Linked DNA regions of Coturnix japonica. The protein of the gene in region 3 interacts with the protein of the main gene of each other region in a biochemical or structural test. Links are inferred from orthologs where the notes say so. Each region holds a gene or a part of one and is shown on either strand. Other genes may lie near its edges.

Region 1 (4,287 bases), on a different chromosome or scaffold from region 3:
ACAGGATGAGGATCTCATTCCACAGCAGCTCAGAGCTCCCCATCTGCTTTCCCGTCTTCTTGGTCTCGCTGGGCAGCCCATCGCCCGCCACCTCCACGTAGCAGTTCATCCGTGACTGGCGGCTGTGGGCCTTGGGCTTCACGGACACCACTGAGTGGGACAGGCAGGGGTCAAGCAGCAGCCCCACAGCCACAGCCCCTGCCCGAGGACACTGCCTCACACTTACACACCCCATCTCTGCCACCAATGCTCTGGGAAGGGGACAGCACTGGGCTGAGACAGCCCCGCTCATGCTTCACCCACTCCCATTTCACCCCACAGACACCTACCATCCCTGTTCAGCTGCTCCCAGCCCCAGGAGCCTGATGAGAAAGCCCGTGCTCTATGACAAGCCAGGGACACAGGGGTTCTGCAGGAGCCAAGGGAAGGAGGCAGTTGGCCAGGGAGAATTGCCACTCTCTAGATGGCCATGCCTGGACCAGAGGGCTGTGGGCAGTGCTGGGACACAGCTCCGAGCATCTGGAGCCATCTCGTGGCCACTGCAGGACAAACACCGCCCTGGCAGAGCCACGGAGCCACATCCCAGCAGAGGAGGCAGAGCCCCCCACAGGCAGCGCTCTGCTTCCAGAGGCCACCAGCACCAAGGCCTGGTAAAGGCTGCATGCACCACAGAGCCTGGAACACGGCCCCTCCCCACCAAGGAACCCCAAGGTCCCCCACCTGGGTGCACCCAAAGCCCAGCTCCCAGCCCTGCACAGGACTCACCTTTCACAGAGAGCTGGGACTTCTCACAGGGCAGCCCTGCCCTGGCCCTGCTGGAGCTTGCAGAGGCCATGTCATCACCCCCGGCCTGGAAGGGAGAGAGAGAGATGGGGACTCAGCACCGACGCTGAGTTGGGGCCCAAAGATATCCTGTGTCCAGCACTGCACACAGCAGAAAGAGCACACAGCCATAAGAGCACACAGCCATAAGAGCACACAGCCATAAGAGCACACAGCCACTTGGGGCAGCAGCCTGCAGGCAGCCTTGTGAGCAACTCCACCTCACCCCAACCCCGAGGCTGCTGCTGACTCTGGCCATGGGGACAGAGCAACCTCCAGTGCTGCCGAACACCAAACGAAAACCAAAGTCTGCAGGTGAGGGCACAGTATGGTACGTGAGATCCCTTGGAAAGGATGAGACAGCAGCACCATGAGCTGGGTCTGCTCACAGCACAGCAGAGCTGCATGTCCCTCAAGGACAGCCCAAGTGGCTGCCAGGCAGCAAAACACCATGGAAAAATTGGTCCTCCCTACTCCAACACACTGCGGAGCTGCAGCTCAGCACGGAGGGGAATTGCAGACTCTCCAACCTCAGGGCCGGACCCCAGCACGGCCTGCACCTTCCCAGCACTCACCACTTCCTTTTGCTGGGGCACTGCATCGCTGACAGCAGCCACAGCACTTCCCTCTCCCCCATCTGCCACAGCTTTCCCCTGGAGCTCCCCACGTGGCAGAGGCTGCAGGTTTCCTACTGAAATGCCTGACCATAAAGGAAAACCCCATGGTCAGGGATCACGCAGGAGCACGAGGTGCTCAGTCTGACACCAGCAGTCAGCTATGGTACCACACTGCTCTCACGGGGCCCTCCTCAACCCCTGCCAACTCCTTTTAAACCCCTCCTGACACCAGCCTGGCACAAGGCTGAGCCTGGAGGCCTCACACAGCCTCCCTGGGAATGCACTGCTGGGGTACGAGAGGTGAGCAGGGGATGGCAAGGAGCCCCTCCATCCTCTCTGGCAGCTGGGAGCCAGCTACAGGCTGTGGTCATGTCCAAGACTGACTGTGATACTATTACAAGTTATTCCAACTCCATTACTCCGGCCCACAGATCACCCCCCAGGATACTGCTGGCTGATTCCACACCATCACTTACTTCATTACAAACACTATCCAGGCCCACGGAACGAGGTGGCCTGACACCGAGCCCTGAGCAGGATGGGGCAGTGAGCACTGAGCTCCTCCCGGGGGCACTTGTTGCTCCACCAACAGCCCCACAGCACAGACCCACCTCACCGGGACCTGGGGCTCCGCGCTGCTCCGTCAGATTCAGGCACCACCCGCAGCCCCGCAGTGCACAGTCACAGCGCAGCCCAGGCTTTGCCACGGGAGCCGACCCGGCTCGGACTCATCGCTCACCAAACTCGTTCGTTCCAACCCGTCACCGCACACACGGAGCCTCGTCCTCTCCCGCTGTGTCCCGTGGAGCCGCAGCGTCACCCGCCCGAGAGCGGCCACCGCGACCCGCACTGCGGGACACCGGGCAGCGCCCGGCACGGGACAGCGGGGACAGCCAGGACACCGGGACATCAGGACACCGGGACATCAGGACACCGGGACATCAGGACACCGGCACAGCCGTGGCGCAGCGCTGCACCGCGCTGAGCTTCAGAGCTGCGCCCAAAACCGGGAACCGGGACCGAACCGGCACCGCGCGGTGTGAGGCAGCGCCCGGAGCCCGGTACCTGGTGCCGCCCCTCAGCCCCCACAGCCGGTGCCACGGGCCGCCCCGCCGGGCTTCCCCTCTGTTGGCCGGCAGCCGCTGCCGGTAAAGCGGAGCGGAGCAGCTGCCCGCAGCCCGACCGTTACACCGTTACACCCCATCACACCCCGTTACACCGTTACACCGTCACATCACACCCCGTTACACCCCGTTACACCCCGTTACACCCCGTTACACCGTCTCCCCTCCCGCTCTCACCGCTCCTCCGCTCTCCCGCTTCCGGTTGCAGCTCCGCCGTCATGTGACCCCGCGCGCACCTGACCGCGCCGCCCGGAAGTTGCCCCGCGCCGCCCTCCCGTCAGCCCCCGCGCGGCGCAGAGGGACGCAGCCAACATGGCGGACATGGGCCGCGTGCCGCACGTGGTGGCCGATACCGGCGCGTTCCTGAGCGGTGCCGCGCTGCAGGTACGGACCGAGAGCGGCCGGATGGGGCGGGTCCGGAACGGGGTCGGGGCTGGGGGCCGCTCCGGGCACGGGCTGAGCCTTGTTCCGCCCGCAGGACGTGGCGCGCAGCGTGTACACCGTGCCCGAGGTGCTGGCCGAGATCCGGGACCGGCGGGCGCGGCGCCGCCTGGCAGCGCTGCCCTACGAACTGCAGCTCCGCCGACCGAGGGCTGAGTATGTGCGGAACGGTGAGTGACGGGGGGCGGGTATAATGGGTAACGGATAACGGGTAACGGATAATGGGGGTAACGGCCTCTTCCGCCCCGTCCCGCAGTCACCGAGTTCGCCAAGCGCACCGGGGACTTCCCCAGCCTGTCGGCCGCCGACCTGCAGGTGCTGGCGCTCACCTGCCAGATGCAGGACGAGATCACAGGGCCGGGCAGCGTCCGCCTGCAGCCCCCGGACAAGGTAACGGGGGATGGGATGGGATGGGATGGGGCTGGGCTGGGCTGCGGGCGCTGCTGATCCCGGCGCTGCCCACAGGTGCAGCTCAGCTCCAGCCCGTGTCACCCCGAGGCCACGCTGCACATCGCCGGCTTCCACCTGCCCACCAAGGTACAGGGGGTGATGGGGACAAAGGGGGGTGAGGGGTGAGAGGAGCGGGGATGTGGAGCCCGGGGCTGCTGTGTCTCCCCCAGCACAAACGCCCGCGGAAGAGCCAGCAGCAGCACGGCCACGACAGCAGCACGGAGCTGCCTGACAGTGCTGAGTTCAGCTCCTTCCTCTACTGGAGGCTGCCCCTGCCCGACATCGAGGACGAGCTCCAGGAGATGCTGGTGAGGCTGCTGTGCTCACTGCCCCACATCCCAGCTTATTGGCATACACGGCACCAACTGCCCATCTCTGCAGAAAACACACAGCACCTCCAGCAGCCCGGCAGCCACCGACGAGTGTCAGAGCTCAGAGGATGGGGATGGTGCCGAGGAGGAAGAGGATGAGGATGAAGGGAGCGATGATGACGAGGGCTGGATAACGCCAAGCAACCTCAAGCAGGTCCAGCAGGACACGGGGCACTGCGACACCGTGCCTGCCAACGTGCAGGTCGGCTGTGTCACCACAGACTTCTCCATGCAGGTGAGTGCTGCCTCACATGGCCCTGTCTCCAGCACACAGCTCGGTTGATCCCACACACGTACCATACAAAAGTCAACCTGCGATGCTTTCTTTTGTGTTCAAAGCTGTCAGTTCTCCCCACAGCAGCAGCTGTACCACAGCAGCGCCTACCCAGAGCCCATTGGCTTTGCTGCTCTTGGCCTCTCACTGCATGGGCAGGCAAACTTGGGTGGAGCTCCTGGGCTCAT
Region 2 (4,111 bases), on a different chromosome or scaffold from region 3:
ACAAAGCAGAACGTTATAGGCCTATGGAGACACATCCAGCTGTTGTATGTGTGTTTCCAACCAGAACGCTCAGGTTTGTTTTGCACTGTAAAGCTTCAGTTTGGGGGCATGTCCAGCCACAGTGAGCCAGGGAATCCTGTGTAGCACCAGCACCATCTCCACAAGTTGCTGCTGGTAAAGTGGTCCTGTGAGAAACACTTTGCTCTGAGATGTTGTTACCTTGTGAGTATGAAGACCTGCAGCTCCCATCAAAGTTCTGCCAGGAGAAACTGAAAGACTTTTGGCAACATACTGAATGTTGAAGTTCTTCACTTATATTATTTACGGAGGCACTTAAAACACTGGACAACGTAATGAGAGAGACATTCTAGACAACAAAGGTGCCACATGAAGGAGAATATTTTCCATATATGTAACTTTAAGATACAAGTTCCAACGCAATGTAAACAAGCACACGGTGGTGGTGCTGCTGAGCACAGCCCTCCATCCCACACATTTCACAAATCATTTGTTGTCAGTATTTCACCTTCAGAAAGTCCAATCCTTTAGAAGAGCACAAAGGTTATTGTGATTTGATTTCACAGAGAAAACCAAAACCAGGCAAAGAAAGAGCCCTTTCCATCCTTTTGGCATCCCTCCATCTGTTCTGGATTACCTCCTTACTCCTCATTGCCAATCGTTCACCCGCTCACACAGTGCATCCGATGGACATAGCACCCCCCGAGTGCCAGCACAGGGCCAAGTACCATATCCCATGTACAACTGAAAGCTATGGCAAGTCCTAACTACATCACCTGCTCATCGCTGTTAAAAGGCTAACGATGTGATTTCCAGAGCTAGAACATAATAGCTAAAGCCTCCAGCTGCCCTAAGATGGCAACTTCAGAACATGAGCTAGAACTTCATACAGCAAATAGAAGTTGTCACTCTGAAGCCTTAAGATATTTCTCTTAGATTTCAGCTTTAAAAATAGACCGGGGTTATTTCTATGACTGATTTTGCCTTAAATAAAATGATCCATCCAGCACAGGAAAAGTTGAGTGTTAGAACACCCTGTTCTCTGACTTTATGCAACTAACGTGTTGATACATTATCTCTGGTTTATCAGCTACTCAGAACTCCTGCATCATCCATCTGCACCTGCAGTACTGAGGACTCAGCCCTGGCAATGGAAGGCACTGAGCAAGCACCCAAAGGGCTGCAAATACAGCCTGCTGGATCAATGGGAGGCTGGAACAGTAAGCAAGCAGCCATTCTTCTTCCTGACAATAACACTCATGAACAGAGGAGCATCCCATCAGGTTTTGCACCTTCATCTCTGGCTTTGCAATGTTTAATGCTGCTATGAACAACAAGAGGCTGCACAGAACACTGTGATTGCTGGCTGAAAACTGCCAACACAACTTCTGCTCTCTTTGTTTCAAACCTTCCATGGAATCTCATCTGCCACCACAGCAGAGCACAGAACCTTTGTGGCAGGGCTTCATTTCAATGGGCTTTTGGTGACTCCAGGGAAGCATTTCTGCTCAGACACAAGTGGTTCTGCACAAGCCTTTGGAAGGATCAAAATTAAACTACCAGCTGTGCTTTATGGAATAGCGATTTCTATTGGGAATTAATTGTTCACCCTACTAAAATTTTATACTGTTTTGAAAAAGGAAAAAACTTGTTTCTTAAGCCTCCTATGTAATGAAAATCTTAATATCCCACCCATATTTGACTTTCCCTTTGCACATTTCCAAGATGCAGCTGTAAAAGGGGACAGGGCCACTATCAGCACTGAGAAATTCCATTTGCTTCTACCCATTGGTAATTTGGCCAAAAGCAGGGAACGCTTCTCAAAGGGCAACCAAGAAACCTGAGCGAGGCCACGATGCCTTCCAGCCTCATCACTGCAGCTCACACACCCCAAGGCCAGGCGGTATTTGCAACCCACTGGCACAGTTAGGAAAGCACTGCTGGGATGCACTGCCTGTGTTGGAAATGCATTAGGCAGTTTTCTGTTGCTGGAACACACACCTGCACCGCAGCCACTCTGATGTCGCTGGCAATGAGTGAGCTCACCAAATAAGCTGGGACAGCGGGATCACCCAGAACGGCCTTTAAGCTTCTGGCCTCAGCGATGCACAGTGAGCACTGAAACGCCGTTTCCTTTTGACTTTCCATCTCTGCATCCCCACAGTAATACCAGAGGGCAGCTGGCATTTCGCAGAGCTGCTGGGTGAGCCCCGTTACACCCAGCTCCCCTTCAGTGCGCAATAACAGCCCACTCCAGCTGTTTTTTACCATCCAGCTCCATTGCGTTGTGCAGGATCCCACCAGCAGCATCACAGCACGCACACAGCGTTATGAAGCAGCGAACATGGCTGTGTTGGTGATTCCATTCCTCACAGCTTAGAGCTGCTCCCCCCATTAACAGCAATTCGGGGCCTTTCGCTTGGGCGGCCGGAAGGGCAGCTCCCCCCAGGCCCGGAATTCCGGACCTTCCCCCCCTTTATTTGGATACACGTTTATCCATCAGTTTCTCTATTCCTTCAATTACTCATTGGTTTTTATAACGTTTTTTTTTTACCTCACGGCTCCCAATGGAGGATGAGGGAGAGGCGCGAGGCCGGGCCAGGCCCGCAGCCACCTCCGAGCAGCGCCGGGCCCCTCAGGCCCACACGGAGCGAGCTGGCCGGGCCCTACGGGAGGCTGAGGAGGAGGAGAAGGAGGAGAAGGAGGGGGGGGGACTCACCATCAGCTCGATAGTCTTGTCCTCGATCACCGAGTCGGGCTCCATAGCGGCGGTAGCTCCGCGCGGTGCCCGCCCCCCCCCCCCCCCCCCCCGCCCCCCCCCCCCCCGCCCCGCCACCCGCCAGGCCCCGCCGCCGCTCGCCCACCCCCCCTCCAAGCGCGCGCACACGCACGCACGTACGTGACGTCACGACGCCCGGAAGAACATGGCGCCCGCTTCCTAGTAGCGGACCACAATTCCCAGCAGCCCCCCGCGGTGCCGAGCTCCTATTGGCTGCTGGGGGCTCCCCGGGAAGGCGGCCTGGGTGTGTGGAGAGAAAATGGCGCCGGGCTGGGAAACACCACAGGTGTACGGTGCCATCATTGTGATGGGAGAGCACGCGGTGTCACCTCAGCCCTCACCACAACAATTAACATCACCATGGAACACATGTCACACAGCCCCTCCTGCTACAGCTGGGCTGGATTCCTCACACCTTCACACCGCGGCCTACAAGTAACGACTGGCAGGTGAAGCTGTTCCACGGTTGCTGTAGAGATCCTGAGCTGCTCACTGTCATTGTTCGCTCCAGGGACCAAATGGAACAGCAGATATGAGACAGAGCGAGCATAAAGTGCGTTAATTCATAATACAGGGAAGAGATGTGCTGATGGGGACAATGCTGTGTCACAGAGCTGCCTACAGAACTACACTGCACCTAGACACTGTGCTGGGTGTGCAAGGCATTGAACACCATTGTGCTGTATGGACAAGGCATTGAACACCACTGTGCTGTATGGACAAGGCATTGAACACCACTGTGCTGTGTGTACGAGGCATTGAACATCACTGTGCTGTGTGTACGAGGCATTGAACATCACTGTGCTGTGTGTGCAAGGCATTGAACACCATTGTGCTGTGTGTATGAGGCATTGAGCATCACTGTGCTGTATGGACAAGGCACTGAACATCACTGTGCTGTGTGGACAAGGCATTGAACACCACTGTGCTGTATGGACAAGGCATTGAACACCACTGTGCTGTATGGACAAGGCATTGAACACCACTGTGCTGTGTGTGCAAGGCATTGAACACTGTGCTGTGTGTGCAAGGCATTGAACAACACTGTGCTGTATGGACAAGGCATTGAACACCACTGTGCTGTGTGGACAAGGCACTGATGTGTTGTCCTCTGAAAGCACAAAGCATTGCTGAATGTGTAAGAAAAGAAATAGGCAAATGTTCCCCCAGAGGTTTGAAGGGAGGTGAATCCGTGGCCTGGCAGCCTGCATGGAGCTGTGGTTAATGCATGAAGAGCTACAGGAGCACTTGCAGGACTCTGAAGCTGTTGGAGGAAACCTGGGCAAAAAGGTGTAACTTGCATCAACGCTGGTA
Region 3 (2,856 bases):
ATGTTGTGGAGCACAGAGGCCCCAGCCCCAAGAAACAAGCAGCAGTGCTTCCCCCCCCACCCCCATCCACCCCAATGAGGCACAGGTTGGAGCAGGGCAGAGGCCAACACAGCCCTAACAAGGCACACAAACCTGGCCATTCCTGGCCTGCAGGGCTTGGGGTGCTGCCCAGCTGCACCCACATCAGAGAAAGCAGCAAGAAACCAGGCAGCAAAAGGGCATTGCTCCAAGTTGAGGCATATGGGTGATGCCTGGGCAGGTCTGGGGCACACAGAGTTGCCTGCGCACATCAAACTCTCTGGGTTAAACCTCCCCAGTCTACAGAGGGAAGGAGAGATGAGGGTTATTGGAGGAACCCTCCCAACCCCACCATCCATCTGCAGCCTGAGCTCATCCAAAGTTGGCCTCAGGCACCCACACAGCTGTTCCCTTAAACTACTTTATTAAATAGTTTCCAAAAAAAAGAGGAAAAATAAAAACAAAACAACAAACAGAAGCAGAAAGGACTCCAAATTATCCCATCCCTTTAACTAGTTAAAAGCTACAAACAGTCCAGACCTGTGCCCTAGCAGTGTGGGAAGGGCAGAAAAAGGGTCCCACAGGGGACAGTCCTAAATCAGGCAGGACAACCTTGCCCCAGGGAAGGGGGCAGTTGTGCCCATCCTGCAGCCCTTCCTATTCAGCCAGTTTAATGACTGTAGAAAGCCACAGCAAATCTTACATGCTTTCTACCAAAGCGACCACTCACCAGCTTCACAGCCTCCACAAAAAGAGCTGATCGTGTCCAAACAACTCCAGCTTCCCCATAACTCCTCAACCCAGCCAGAAGCACAAGCTCCCTGCTTTTTGTGCATTTGCAAATACCCCCAACACGACTTTTCCCATTCCCACCCACCCCCCCTCTCCATGAGTTCATAAAATAGGGTTTGTTTCTGTTTTTTGCTTCCTCCCCCCCCTTTACAATGACAGCAGGTGGGGTTTCCTTTACAACAGCAGAACAGTCTCCCTGTGAGGTAGAGTTAATTTCAGGGCTGACAGATGCTAAATTCAAACCAGTTCGTCCTAGTTGAGGTAAAATTCAGTAGTTTACAGCACTTTTTTTTTGCAGTGCCAGAGGGCCATCAAGATTCCTCATTGCCAGAGTCATCCTCATCACCATAGCAGTTGTCTGCTTCCTCTTCCATCTCATCATCCTCGTAATAGTCATCATAAAAGAGGTCTGAGCCCTCATCTGGGGCCGGAGTCTTGGTCTTTACACAATACTCTGCCAGTGTGGTGGGGACCTTCACGCCATCCCGCTCAGCATCCACTTTTGTTCCCAGGACTTGTTTTCTGGAGGGGGGAGAAGCAGATGAGGTGAGAACAGGGGCTTTGCACAGCACAGCTTGGGGATGCAGCTCTTTTTCCCTCTTGTGCACCAGCTCACACTCACTCACCACAAAGGACTGGGAGTGTCCCATGCTCTGAGGGCCCCTGTTGCCATGCTAAGGTTGGCCAGCCCCAAACCACAGACCTGGCAGCAATGCAGTGCTGCATACCCACACCCTCAGCTTTAGAGCTGAAAAGAGCCAGGGCTCACATCAGCAACAAAGCTGAGCACGTAACACAGCCAAACCGCTCCTCGAGAGCCACACTCAGAGCCAGAATCCTTCTACCCAAGGAGCCTGCAGATAAGACTGAACAGGGCTGCGCCCTCAGGATCTCATTATCCCATGTAACACAACCACAGCTCAGTTAAGCCCTCTCAAAGTCTATAGGAATGCTGCTGGGTCTCAGCCCAGCTCCCCACACACCTGATGATGTCTGTGTACTCCCGATCCTTTCCTTTGCTCTCCTTCCATTTGCGGTACATCACAGAGGCATCAACGTTGGCTGGAGAAAACGTGTTGGGTTCATTCAGCAATGAGATCACGCTCAGAAGAATGGTCCTGGCAGCCAAGAGACACAAGCAAGTAAGAACCAAGGCAGGTCTGCAGCTGCCTGCAACCCAATGGATGCCAGCAGCCTCCCACAGGTCCCCACTCACTCACTCCCTCCCTCTCCCCAGCCCTGCCCATACCTCACGTTCTGTGTAGGGTTCCACCGCTCGGATGGCAGCTCCCCACTCTGTGGATCATCCACTGGTGGGTGCAGGATGGAGATGCAGACATCACCAGTCTGAAAGTACATAGAAAAATAGCATTAGTAGGGGCTGCTGCCCCAAGCACGGCCCAGAAGCAGCTCATCCTCTGCCCCAGCACCCTGGGCTGCTCTTTCCTTTGGCTTAAGACATGTGAGGAAGTCCCAGCCTGTGCTTTTGTTACCTCGAATGGGATATTGAAAAGGCTACCACGCTGTCTGCACTCTCAGGCATTGGATCAACACCCTGACACTACTGGTATGATACAGATGGGGCTGCCAAGTCACCAGCTGACATTGAACACGTGGCGCAGCTCTCCCGGTGCTCCTCAATGGCTTCAAGCAGCAGCTGCTCCACTGCAGGGCCCAGCAAGCCACCACTCTGCATCCACCCTTAGCTCAAGCACCACGACCTTGCTGCATAAGCATGGAGCCCTTATGCCTGACTAACCTGGAACCAGTTTCAGGTTAGAGGACAGGCTGTCCTAAAAGCCTCAGTCAGCTGTGGTTCCAATACATGAAGCTATTCCAGAACACCTACCTCATAGATGTTGGGGTGCCACATTTTGGTCAAGAACCTGAACGCAGGTGGAGAATAGGGGTAGTCGATGGGAAATCGGAGACGGGCCTGCAAGGAAATGATAAGAAGTCATCACTGTTGGTTTCTGAAAAGGAACGGAAAGAAGCCACATAACTCTGACTACCACCAGGGTAAAGAAGCCTCTGTCAACCCCCCTG
Region 4 (4,151 bases), on a different chromosome or scaffold from region 3:
GATGTTGTGTTGAGGGACATGGTTTAGTGAGAGCTATTGGTTATAGGTGAATGGTTGGACTGGATGATCTTTTAGGTGTTTTCCAACCTTGGCGATTCTATGATTCTAAGGCCAGTTTTTGAAAATGGTGTGAAGCTGCTGGAGCCAGCATGCAAGTGAAACATTTTGGAGAACAAAGAAATCTTTTGTTTCTCTCTGTTGCTTCCCCATTTCTCTCTTCATAAGGAGCTAGTGCTCCTTATGGGCAGAATTCTTCATAAAAAACTTTTCTGGGCAGAATTCTTCATAAAAAACTTTTTTAATGATTCCATGCAAGTTGCTTTAAGTATCTTTTGGTATAATTCAGACCAGCATTTGACTTCATCTTGGCAAGGAAAGTCCCCATAGTTTGGGAGGATACAGTACAGAGAGCCATGATGAAGCAAAATACAGAGGATACATTAATCCCACCCTCCTCCTTTACATCACAGTACCATGAATGTTTATTCCTGAGGACTGCGGAATTATAAGGCAGGACAGAGTCCAAAGCATTACTTTTCCAAAACCTTGATTTCAATAACTTGGCTTAATTTTGGCATGATTTTGCATTATCCATCCCATGCTTTTGAAAATTAACTGCCCCTCTTGTAATCCATGTGACAATGATACAAAAACTAGCAGTTTTTATTTTATCTTGCATTAAATTCATATACATTTGTTCAAAGATCACAAACATCATTATTTAGTTCATGATCTATTTCTCTATCAGACCTTCAAGCATCTCCCCGTCAGCTCACAAACTGAATGATTAAACTTTTCTTTCAAAGAATTTCTACCCTATTCTCTCCGCAATGTTGTTTTCTGAGTTGTTTTTTTGTTTTTCATGAAATTCACAATAACATTACAATTTCTAATTATATTTAGGTCATTGTGACCATTTCTCTTTAACTGCCATTTTTCAATTCAGTGTTTACTCGAAACTAGTGACTCTTGATGCCGTTCAGATGAGAGCAGTTTAATTTGGTAATGTCAGATGGGGATTTTCTTCAGTGTTCATTGTAACTTTAACACTGGATACCACGTAATTCAGTGGCCTAGGACAAGCTAAGAATTAGTATCTAATAAATAAAAAAGCATTTGCGATTTCATCATGAGCAGATACAAGTCTTAGCATTTCAGACTGGAAAATGAGTGCACCTGATGGCTCTAGAAGCGGCCTAACTCTGGGGGGCCAAGCAGGATGACCCTTTAGGGCAGTAAAACGTACAGGCCAGAAGACTCGGACCATCAACGCGACCCTGTTGAACGACTGCGCCGTTGTCATTTCCGGCTGCACACACACCTGCCTTTGTCATTTCCGCCGGGGCAGCCGGAGAAGGCAGGCTTGTGGAGAGCAGCACAACCAAAGGGCAACTCCTCCCCGCGCGGGCGCCGTGGCTGCCGGTTATTTTTAGTTCCGGACTCGAGGCTCAAACTACGCTGATCTCTTCCGGTGGCTTAGGTGGGGAGAGGTTCTGCTGCGCTGTCTTTGCTAGCCCTTTGCCCGCCTTTAGGGAGAGGAGAGGAGGCGGCAGCGGGCTGGGTAGACTTCGCGTCTACCCACGGGTTGGGTCCTCTCCACGCCGTGGGTCGCTCCGAGCCAAGCTAAGGGGGGCGGTGCCTTCTCGCTTTCTGAGCCGTGCTGAGGGGAGGCGGTGGCGGATCTGGGCTCGGCGGTAGCGGAAGGGGCGGGCGGACGCGGCCTGACTCTGCGGGACGTGCGATACTGGTGAGTGCGGGAGGCCGCGGTGCTGTGTCGCAGCCAGGCCAGCAACGCAGCCGGGCCGGGTGGGGAAGCTCAGCTGGGCCAAGGCGACAAGGGCTTAACGAAGCGTGGCCCGGCTTTGAGTCATACAGCGAGGAGCGCGGGAGCAGGAGGGGCTGGGCCTGGCCGACCTGCCCGCCCGCCTTTCTTCTACCGGGCGTACACCGCGTTCCAGAGACAGCGGGAGTCGTTGTCTGACGGGTTCGGAGCTCCGGCCTCGAAGTTGCGGGCCGGTGCGGGAGGCCTCTAACTACGCACTGGAATTACATCACCCCGCCGGACCGCGAGGGCCCGCGCTGCCGGCAACCCTCGCCTCACAGATCTGCCTGTTGTCTGCCCTGCCCGCTCCCCTATCGAGGTCGGCCCGACCTCCCTCCCGCCTCCCAGCCCTTCCCGGCACGTGGCCTGGACCGCCACGGTCGTTGCTTTAGACTTACATCTCTCAGATCCTGACCCTTCGGGCCCTTCTTTCCAGAGCCCTACACCTCTTCTGCCTTCTCACTGGCCCTAGGACTGTATGCCCAGGCCGTGTTCATTCTAGGCCTCATCTATTCTATCCTGAGGCCTCTGGAGCTTTTCCCGTAGCTTGTCTCATCACCAGTGTTAGTTTTTTGTCTGTCTTCACTTCTCTTTTCTCCTTTATTCTTCACGTGGTTACCTTTCATTCTGTTGTTTCCATCTCAAAACTAGTAGCACTCAGATCTATATAGGACCCGTGTGGTTGTAGCCAAATTTCTCTTGTGTACCCACCCAACCCCTTACTGTCATCTCTAAAGTATTTATTTCCATTGTTGTTATCTTCCTCAGCTTTATCAAGGACTGTGCCCCAGGTTTTCCCTTGTAGCTCCCTAATGTTGTGTTCCCAGGGAGAGTTTCCCAACCCTCCTCCCTTTCTCACCCCTCTCTCCCCCCCCAAATAACCTCTTACCTGTTTGTTTGTTCATGTATTTATTGCCGCCATCCAGATGGCAAGTCTTGCAGTTGTTTGTCATTGCAGCTAATCACCTCCTTTGTCTCCCAGTAACTTTGTCTGCCACTGAAAGCTGTGTCCTTATTGTGATCCTTTTCCAATCCTTATTTCCTTTTCAGCCCTATTTCTTAATCATCACCATTCCCTTATCACCTTTCCTGTTTCAGCTTTCTTCCTCCCATATTTCCTTCACCGTGATTTTTTTTTTTCCCCTTCCCTTTTGATCTTACTTTCTTGTCTTAAAAATCTTCTTTGTCATCTCACCTCTTTTTCCTTTGGCATATTCCTTTCCTTTCTAGGCTCACTTGCTGTCCCCTGCACTTTAAGTCCTCCAGCTGTGCCTTTGACAAGAGAGGAATGTGAGCTTAATTCATCTTCAAGAGTTAGGCGATTATAGATTATTTACTTGTTTCACCTTACTTTGTTTTCATTTGTTTGTTACTGACTTCCTTAATAGCCTTTTGTCAATAAATGCTTTCATATATCATCACTTTAATACATACCTAATGCAATGCTAGTCTAGAAAAAAAAAATCCGTCTTAGGACCATCCTCTTAGTCCTGCCAAATGGTTTTCATGGGGAGCAGAAATAACTGGTGGCTGTGTAACTTAAATTATGCTAAATACCGTTCGTTATGCTGAATTGTTGTAATACTTTAAGTTGGTACTTATGAGATACAGGGTGTGTTAAGAATACATTTGCTTTGAGGAATTAGTAAAGTACGTCTTCAGTACCATGGTACATGGTTTTTGCTCCAGATATGCTGGTAGTGAGCTGCTGCAGTACTGTCATTCGATGGTAAGGAGTGTGTTGCATTGGCACTTGGTATCTGCTGGCAACTGCTGTAAAGTAGTCTTTCCCTGTGCTTTGTGATTTTTCTTGTTTCTTAGGAGTTGTTACCAGATTTCTTATTTTATGTCTGTCTTACTTGGTTTGGCTCTTAAGATTATGAGATGTAACCAATCTTACTGTTGTGATGTATTTGAGGTATGATTTAAACACGAAAGACTGCTGTCCTGTGGCAGTGTAGGGAATACAATGAATCTAGAGAGCAATTTCTGTACTTAACTTTAGAATCCTAGTTTGTTGTCTAATTTTGACAACTTGATCTTGTTTTCTCAACTGAATATATGCAACCTAGTAACTTCACAACAACTCGGAACAACTGAACTGGGCTTCTGAGCTGAATTACCCCTCTGGAGGAAACTTTTTCATTTGTCTATTCTATACTGAGAATAGTTTATAGTTTAGGCATCTGGATTAGATGTACACATTTCACTGCTTGAGTGACAAATTGATTGTGCTGGCTCAACTAAGTTATCCTCCTTTCACTTCTTCACTGCATGAGAAAATTTCATTGCATCTCTATAAAGCATGGAAATTAATTTAAGCTATATT

Evidence for each region.
Region 1: the proteins of CDC34 (region 3) and WWP2 form a complex in vitro, tested with the Homo sapiens proteins (2 studies listed by BioGRID, with this or other methods). The link is inferred for Coturnix japonica from reciprocal best matches to the Homo sapiens genes CDC34 and WWP2.
Region 2: the proteins of CDC34 (region 3) and FBXW11 form a complex in vitro, tested with the Homo sapiens proteins (2 studies listed by BioGRID). The link is inferred for Coturnix japonica from reciprocal best matches to the Homo sapiens genes CDC34 and FBXW11.
Region 4: the proteins of CDC34 (region 3) and CUL1 form a complex in vitro, tested with the Homo sapiens proteins (3 studies listed by BioGRID). The link is inferred for Coturnix japonica from reciprocal best matches to the Homo sapiens genes CDC34 and CUL1.

What each region holds. Positions count from the first base shown.
Region 1 is NC_029526.1:16,981,910-16,986,196, reverse strand, and holds the start of WWP2 (NEDD4-like E3 ubiquitin-protein ligase WWP2), read right to left. Parts: upstream 2,813-4,287; 5' UTR 2,784-2,812; coding exon of another isoform or gene 2,741-2,783; intron 852-2,740; exon of another isoform or gene 851-851; 5' UTR 836-850; coding exon 766-835; intron 410-765; exon of another isoform or gene 330-409; intron 151-329; coding exon 3-150; intron 1-2. Other genes in the region: RNA-binding protein NOB1, read left to right, coding at 2,876-2,947, 3,042-3,174, 3,261-3,394, 3,470-3,541, 3,625-3,762, 3,836-4,060. UniProt on the Homo sapiens protein: E3 ubiquitin-protein ligase which accepts ubiquitin from an E2 ubiquitin-conjugating enzyme in the form of a thioester and then directly transfers the ubiquitin to targeted substrates.
Region 2 is NC_029528.1:13,937,704-13,941,814, forward strand, and holds the start of FBXW11 (F-box/WD repeat-containing protein 11), read right to left. Parts: upstream 2,813-4,111; 5' UTR 2,783-2,812; coding exon 2,738-2,782; intron 1-2,737.
Region 3 is NC_029543.1:1,770,800-1,773,655, reverse strand, and holds the end of CDC34 (ubiquitin-conjugating enzyme E2 R1), read right to left. Parts: intron 2,747-2,856; coding exon 2,660-2,746; intron 2,158-2,659; coding exon 2,060-2,157; intron 1,929-2,059; coding exon 1,794-1,928; intron 1,333-1,793; coding exon 1,122-1,332; 3' UTR 508-1,121; downstream 1-507. UniProt on the Homo sapiens protein: E2 ubiquitin-conjugating enzyme that accepts ubiquitin from an E1 ubiquitin-activating protein, and catalyzes its covalent attachment to other proteins by an E3 ubiquitin-protein ligase complex. In vitro catalyzes 'Lys-48'-linked polyubiquitination.
Region 4 is NC_029517.1:75,356,467-75,360,617, forward strand, and holds the start of CUL1 (cullin-1), read left to right. Parts: upstream 1-1,339; 5' UTR 1,340-1,480; intron 1,481-1,486; exon of another isoform or gene 1,487-1,747; intron 1,748-4,151. UniProt on the Homo sapiens protein: Core component of multiple cullin-RING-based SCF (SKP1-CUL1-F-box protein) E3 ubiquitin-protein ligase complexes, which mediate the ubiquitination of proteins involved in cell cycle progression, signal transduction and transcription.